2 linked regions of the Danio rerio genome follow. The protein of the gene in region 2 purifies or fractionates together with the protein of the main gene of each other region. This does not show direct contact. Links are inferred from orthologs where the notes say so. Each region holds a gene or a part of one and is shown on either strand. Other genes may lie near its edges. The genes, in order: noc3l and pes.

Region 1 (3,831 bases), on a different chromosome or scaffold from region 2:
TTTCAGATCAAGAAGCTGAAGGAGCTGAGGGCCATGCTGATGGAGACAGACCCCTGCGTTGCCGTCACCGTCAGAAAGTTAGTCATGGTCTCCCTCATGGAGGTCTTTAAGGACATTGTGCCGGCATATCGAATCCGACCTCTGACGGAAGAAGAGAAGGCCGCAAAGGTGCAGTGACTTGATTATTCTTTTCATTTTGAGTAAAAGATGTTTCCAGTGTGCTTTAAAAAAGACAACAAAAAATGCTTGCTTGAAAGAAATGAAACAATAAATTGCATTGATGTAAAAAGTTTACAGATACAGTGGTCTCGTTAATCTCGTTATTCAGTTTTTTAATTAATTAAAGCAATATTATTGACTAATATGAAAATGTTCATCTGATTTATGCACAATTCAGTTTTTACAGTAATATTTTCTGTCTTTTAGTAAAGATATTATATGAGAGACTTGCTTTGTTTACCAAATAAAGTGCATCTAATTGGATTTGCAATTTAAACATTAAATAAAAGTTTAAAAGGTATTACTTTTTACTTAACATATTAAGGTTTAGTTATGATACTCCCAAAATAATTCCGCAGATTTTTACCAACATTCTCCGCAGAAATAGCAAAATCTTCTGCAGATTCCGTCAGGCCCTGGTAATAAGTAAATAAGTAGAAGTCAGCTTTATTTTTTGCAATTATTGTATATGTTTTAAAGCTGTAAAACCCCTCACTACACTATTTTCTCAGACAGCCATTAACATTTTCACACTTTTCTCTCTTGTTTAATCACTTTCACAGTTCCTTCGTAGGAAAATAAGTCCAGTATTATAGAATGAAACCAAAGATCAAAACCTGCTGTCAGGAGCAAACATTTGTTTGAGAAGATTTAATTATTTTAATTATTGATAGATTTAATTTATTCCGAATGGCGCGTTAGAGCCCCGTAACGAGAGCTGCCTTCCTTTAGCACAGGCATGTCCAAACTCGGTCCTGGAGGGCCGGTGTCCTGCAAAGTTTAGTTCCAACCCCAATCAGACACACCTGGGCTAGCTAACCAAGCTCTTACTAGGCTTTCTAGAAACATCCTTGCAGGTGTGTTGAGGCAAGTTGGAGCTAAAATCTGCAGGACACCGGACCGATTTTGGACACCCCTGCTTTAGCATATCCAGAGGTCGATGTTCAGTATTGTGCTATGGTTAGCATCTTCCACTGCTTTTGGGTGCTACCTGCAGAACGTTTGGCTGATATTATGGGGCCAATTTAGTTCTGCGGCCAATTTAGTTCACCCAATTCAACTATAGCACATGTGTTTGGACTGTGCGGGAAAACAGAGCACTCGGAGGAAACCCACAGAAACACGTGGAGAACATGCAAACTCCACACAGAAATGCCAACTTAACCAGCCAGGATTTGAACCAGCGACTTTCTTGCTGTGAGGCCACAGTGCTAACCACTAAGCCATCGTGTCGCCTCTGTTACAGTTTTCAACATTATTATTTCCAACATTGTTACAGACTCAAAAATGCAGATCCTGCCATGTGACTATTGCAAATGTGCACATTGTGATATCGTTGCTGAAACCATATCTCGTGCAGCCCCAAAACAAATCTAAACTAATTTAAAAGTCTATTGAAACTGCGTTTATGAATTATGTGACTTATATTCTGTAAAAATGTTCATTGAGAATTCAAAATATGTTCATTAGGACTTAATTGGGGCCGCTCTTTAGACAGGTGGACTCCAGGAAAAAAAAAAAAGACTATAATGTGTGTGAAATAAATTGCTTCATGCATCTGCCTTTCTGCTTCAGGTGAAGAAAGAGACGCTGCAGCTCAGAGAGTTTGAGGAGGGTCTGGTCAGCCAGTATAAGTTTTACCTGGAGGAGCTGGAACAGACAGTCAAAGGTAGATCTCTGTTCTCTGCTCTACCTGTTCATCCATTGTTTGTTTGTCTGACTGATCTGCTGTCGTTTCAGACTGGAAGCAGAAGAAGGAGAAGAGAAGTCAGGCCGTGTCTCTGCAGTCCTACAAGGGTCTTGCTGAAGTGGCCGTGCGCTGCATCTGTGAGCTGCTGGTTGCTCTGCCACACTTCAACTTCCACAACAACATTATAGTCATGCTGGTGCCTTTGATGAATGACTCCGACAAGAAGGTCAGTCTGCTAACTGTCAGCCATACACAGATCAAGACTACAATATTAGCCCTCCTGCCATGATGATAAAAAATTATTTAGCAAGATACTCCACATGTCATTTTCTGGAATAGTATATTTAATTGTATATTTAAAAGGTCTATTCCAGATATTGAAGGTCCAGGAATTTTATATTTGTTTAGATTGTAATGACTGGTTTTTCATTAATAAAAATGTATCTCTGATTTTTTCCCCCCATGTTTCCTATCAAGCTGTTCACATATTTGCTTGTTGTTATCGCTAGACTATTTTTTTTTTACTAAAATTTTAATTTATTGATTTTTTTTCCCACTTGGAAATTGAAATGCGGTCATGAAAAATACTGACTGTTAAATACTGTATGGTGTTGTTGTTTTTTTTGTCTTTTTTTTTTGTCTGTTCTTCTTAGATTTTGCGTAAAATATACACAATTACATATCTCAGTTAATTAAAAAAAAATTTGACCTCAAGAATCATAGGTTTCTCTTGTAACAACATGAGGTATCACACACCAGTTAAGCACTTTCTATAAGCAAAAACAATGCAGATGGTGTTGCAGCCATTTTAGCTGTCCTGGCTGACCAAAAATTGCAGGAAATCTGTGTCAGTAAAAAAAGTGCAAGCTCCTATAAACTTTGCACCAATATTTTTGTTTAATTTAGCATTGACAGAATCGGATTATTCTGGAGGAACTGCTGAACAGTCCAGCTGCCTGTCGCTCTTTATTATAGATCATGGAAATTCAGCTGATTAGTCAGTGGAAAGTGAGGGAATTTGATATGTGGCTTAGAGTGGGAACTCTGTAAAGCGCAATTTAAAGTCTTGGTTAGATTAACTAGTCAAGTAGGGTTGATAATTCAAGTAATTGGACAACTGGTCTGTTCTGTAGCCAGTTTAAAATCTTAAGTTGGCTAATATTATAAAAACTAATATAAAAATAATAAAAAACAATATTTAAAAAATTATTGTAAAAAATGTAAAGACTGCTTTAAAAGCTAAAACAGTTCCTCCAGGATTTTGCAGGACTTTATTTTGATTTATGTGGCCAAAAATGACAGATTTTAAAATGAATAAAATTTTTTTTTTTTTTTAAGACATTGGGTTCTGTAACATAAAATAGCACTTAATTTCAACATATGTAACCAAATAACAATTAAACTCATTAACATATTAATAATAAAACAACTGAAAAAAAGCTAAAAAAAGAAAAAAAAAAAGAAAAAGATAAGCAGAAGAAAATTAGATAAAAAATAATAAAGTAAATTTAAAGTGCCCACAAGTTTCTTTTACACGAATCTGCTCATGCGCTGCGTGCACACACACACATACACGCTGCATTCTGCTCTGCTAGCACATGCGCTGTGAAAGAGGCCTGACACCATGCCGGTGTTACGTGGTGAGAGCCTGCAAAAAAAAAGTCTTTATTCAAGTAATTTCACTCACCTCAAATTTTTTTCTGCGTCTTTCAGAGTACTATTTGTTGGTAAATGTGCACGTCCGTGTGCGTGTCAGTGTGCGTGCGTGCCTGTGTGTGTGTAAAATGCTGTCTTCTTCTGGTGAAATTTGTTCTGGTATTCTGGGTAAATACATTCAGTAATGATGTCATAGAAAGCATCTAGACCCAGTTTTGCAGAAAATCTGTGGCATTTCATAAAAAAATGTGAGATCTGCAAAATTT
Region 2 (3,831 bases):
CCTGCTCAAGACGGTCGTTTTTTACGGTTCCTGCTCATCCTGGTCATCAGAAGTCTTCTCGTTGCACATCTACACTGCGTTCACCGGAGATGATGTTTACACACACTATGAAGTGAAGTCACACCTTCCTGGCTTAGCACTTCTCAGTTTCATTCATTCATTTGTTCATTCACAAAATATGTCCGCGTCTACTTCCCAGAGGACAACAGCCAATTACATTAGTTTTCCAGGGTTGCGTAAACGTGATTGGGTAGCATATGCTCAAGGGTATTTGCATGGAGTAATCTGACTGGCATCTGTTTGACCATTTAAAGTTCACTCAAAGTTCACGTGAATCTTTGACGCTGACATAAGAAAGATACCATTTTAAGAATTAATTTAAATAATCCGAGGGCAGTTTCATCCAGTTAGCCACCTGTGGGTAAAGCTGACATGTCGTTCAGGTCCAAAACCGCATGATCAGCAGAGCGTGACTAGTCGACATCAATCAAAAAGCATCACGGCAGAGAATTAAAGTCGATTAGTTGACTAGTTGGTGCAACCCCTTGTGTGTGTGTGTGTGTGTGTGTGTATTCTGTTACATGGTTGCTTTTAAATTAAATAAATGAATAAAATCGAATTTAATAAAACTAAACTTTATATTAACAATAGGGATACAACGATTACAGATTTTAGTTGTATGATTGCAGTCTGAGGAATAATCACGATTATTATGCATTCATTCATTTTAAACTCTTTTAGTTTAGAAAATCACATGAAAACTCCTTTTGTTTTAAAGTGTTATGTATTGCTATTCAATAACCAATGAATACAGCACAACATAATAATAAACCAAACAAACAAACAATAGTCCATTTTACTTTGGACTTAAAAAGAAGTTTTTGGCGTTTAAACAGAAGTAATAATTTTACACTGAAAATCAATGACAGAACAATAATAAATTAATGAATATAAATAAGAATACATTTTAAAAAGTTGTATTTTTCTAATGTCTAATAAATATAAACCACTTATTAGCTAAGGGTTTCCCTTTTAAAGAGATCCAATGTAGGCAAAGGCTGCTGAACCACTGTCTGAAAGGCACTTTTGATCAACTATATTTTAATATTATATACATTTTTCTCTTTGGAGTAGGAATGTATAGTATAGTCCATACAGAGTATGAAGCTGACCGTTTAGTTCTTGTCATGTGACTCGCAGTGCTTTCATTCAACTAGGTGCACCTGGAAAGCATGAGCACGTTGCACTGCCTGTACCTCCATAGTAAATAACAAACTTGCGTGCACAAAAGACAAGATATGTGAACAGCCTTATGGTTTTAGCTTCTGCCATAGGTAAAGTCAGCCTTTAATCCAGTGTGTACATGTGTATTGTGTACAAGCTCAGAACTTTAAACTAGCACACAGTAAGCATAACTTTTAGGTGCAGCAGTTTCCCTGCTGAAACACGGTGTTGAGAAGGCTTTACGATTAATTAACTGTGACGAATCAAAGCGCAGTTAATAGCGAAATTGGTTAATCGTTGCATCTGTAATCAACAAAAAAGTCAGTGTTAGTTTAATATCAATAATATACGATTATATTTTTGGTCAGTTTTATTTTTTTATATATATTTTTATTGGGTTAATGTTTTAGCATTTTTGTTGAATGTTTCTGTCATTTTTTTATGTCAGTATACTGTTTATTTAGTTTTAGCTGTTTTACAAGACAAAGTTTTGGCAATTATTCGAAACAGATTTTAATATACATTTCATTTTAGTTGATTTTAATCCAAAAAAATGTAAAGAAATGTTAAAAAAAACACTATGAACCTGCACTTTTGTCAGCTTATATAAACTTGTCATATGTTGTACAGGTGTTTTGGTGGAGAGGTGTCTTGGGATAAATCCCTGTGCATCGGCAGCACGTATGAAGCCACAGACGAAACAATCACGCATCACATCGTGGACAGACCCAGCATGGACAAACAGTATATCAACAGGTCTGAAACCAACTCTCTGATCATATACAGTAGCTGTGTTTACTGTAGTTTCTGTGTTTACTGTAGTCAGTTTATGCTTTAGTTTTATTTGTATAGTTTATAATAGTTGTTTTATAATAGTTTTATTTGTATTTATAATTATAATTTCAAAGCTTTGCAAAAGGTGCATACTATTGCATTACAATCAAATTTGGAAAGATTAAGGTTATTAGTTACCATAACGTTATTAGTTACTAATAACATTAATTAACTAGTAACCAACAGTTTTTAACAGTTAAAGTTAGTATATATAAACAGTTAACCTGTAGTTCTAAAGTTAATAGATTATGTCTTTGTGTATGTGTTCAATGAAGTGTTTTATGTTTGTGTATTAAGTGTATATTCTTGTGCTTTATGAATTTTTTCAATGGTGCAGATACTACATTCAGCCCCAGTGGGTGTATGACTCTGTCAATGCTAAGATACAGTTACCTGTGGAGGAGTATTTTCTGGGAGTCACACTGCCGCCTCATCTGTCACCGTTTGTGGAGGAGACTGAAGGAGATTATGTGCCGCCAGAGAAACTCAAGCTCATGGCCCTGCAGAGAGGAGAGAAACCACGTGAGGGTTTTACTTACTGCTGTGTAGAGATGCACTGATTTTCTTTGCTAATTACTATTTTTTTAAATTTTTATTATTAATATTTTTTGGCAGGGCTGTGACCTGTCTATATGTACGTATGGTCATTTTACAGCTCCGTTGGGTTAAGTTTTACCATTTTTGAATCCATCAAGTCTATCTCCGGGTCTGGCGGGAGTACTTTTAGCTTAGCATAAATCATTGAATTGGATTAGACAATTAGCATCTGACTATTAAAAGTAAAATTAATTCCTTTTCAGATTTTTTGTGATGATTGTAGTTGCAAGCTGCTAATATAGTATCACTTTCACACACTAGCTATGTTTCCATCCAAAAATGTGAATTAGATTTATGTGCAGCACTGAAATATTAAATAAAACATTTGTGAATAAAGCAGCACTTCCATTCTAAGGCAAAAAGAACAAAATGACTTCCTGATAACCTGGCACTAAAGTAATGTTATAATACTGAACCACCTTGACGACAGACTTTGGCTGAGGGATTTTACAATGACCAAAGCAAAAAATAAATAAATCTGTTAAAACAATCACATAACTTTTTTTTTTTTGATGCACATGCTGGATTTTATTCTGTAAATGTTGTTCCATCAAAGTTTTGTATTATATGATGAAAGGTTAAACCCAGGGGTGCCCAAACCTTTTACTATAAAAGGTCAAAAAGCAGTCTTTATTGAGGGCTGTGAACCGAATATATACCAAACCATATACATTACATTTGCCATGGGTAATTTCCTAATTTATTTGGTAATATTAAAAAATAGAAAACATTGCTTTAAATCATATTGACTAATGCAGTATAATTTTTAACATTTTATAATAAACTTAATACAGTAAAATCCCATCCATAAGTCCTATGCTGAATACACTAGTCAAGATTACTTTGATTTGCTCACAGATTTCTTGTGCATCTGTCAAGTTACAGTATTTATTAGTATTTACAATATTTACATTTTAAAAGTCGGAAGCATATACAGTATTTAATTGAATCATTCATTTTTTAGTTTAGTTTTAGTAGCTCAGTAAAAAAACAAAGAAGCAAAAGGTTTTGTTGAATTGGAAATGACGATCACTGTCAAAGGCATTCGCCCCAACCCCTCCCCATCATTCTCCCTCTTTTTTTAGACGGGATGGTGGGCCAAATCGAAGATTACATAGGGCCAACTTTAGCCCGCAGGTCATACTTTGGGCTTCTCTGGTTTAATCTATTCAGTTA

Evidence for each region.
Region 1: the proteins of pes (region 2) and noc3l purify together in Homo sapiens (affinity purification with mass spectrometry; 3 studies listed by BioGRID and IntAct, counting the BioPlex papers as one, with this or other methods). This does not show direct contact. The link is inferred for Danio rerio from reciprocal best matches to the Homo sapiens genes PES1 and NOC3L.

The regions. Positions count from the first base shown.
Region 1 is NC_133187.1:5,951,103-5,954,933, reverse strand, and holds part of noc3l (nucleolar complex protein 3 homolog), read left to right. Parts: intron 1-6; coding exon 7-168; intron 169-1,794; coding exon 1,795-1,888; intron 1,889-1,959; coding exon 1,960-2,135; intron 2,136-3,831. UniProt on the Homo sapiens protein: May be required for adipogenesis.
Region 2 is NC_133180.1:13,532,459-13,536,289, forward strand, and holds part of pes (pescadillo), read left to right. Parts: intron 1-1,854; coding exon 1,855-1,980; intron 1,981-2,395; coding exon 2,396-2,580; intron 2,581-3,831. UniProt on the Homo sapiens protein: Component of the PeBoW complex, which is required for maturation of 28S and 5.8S ribosomal RNAs and formation of the 60S ribosome.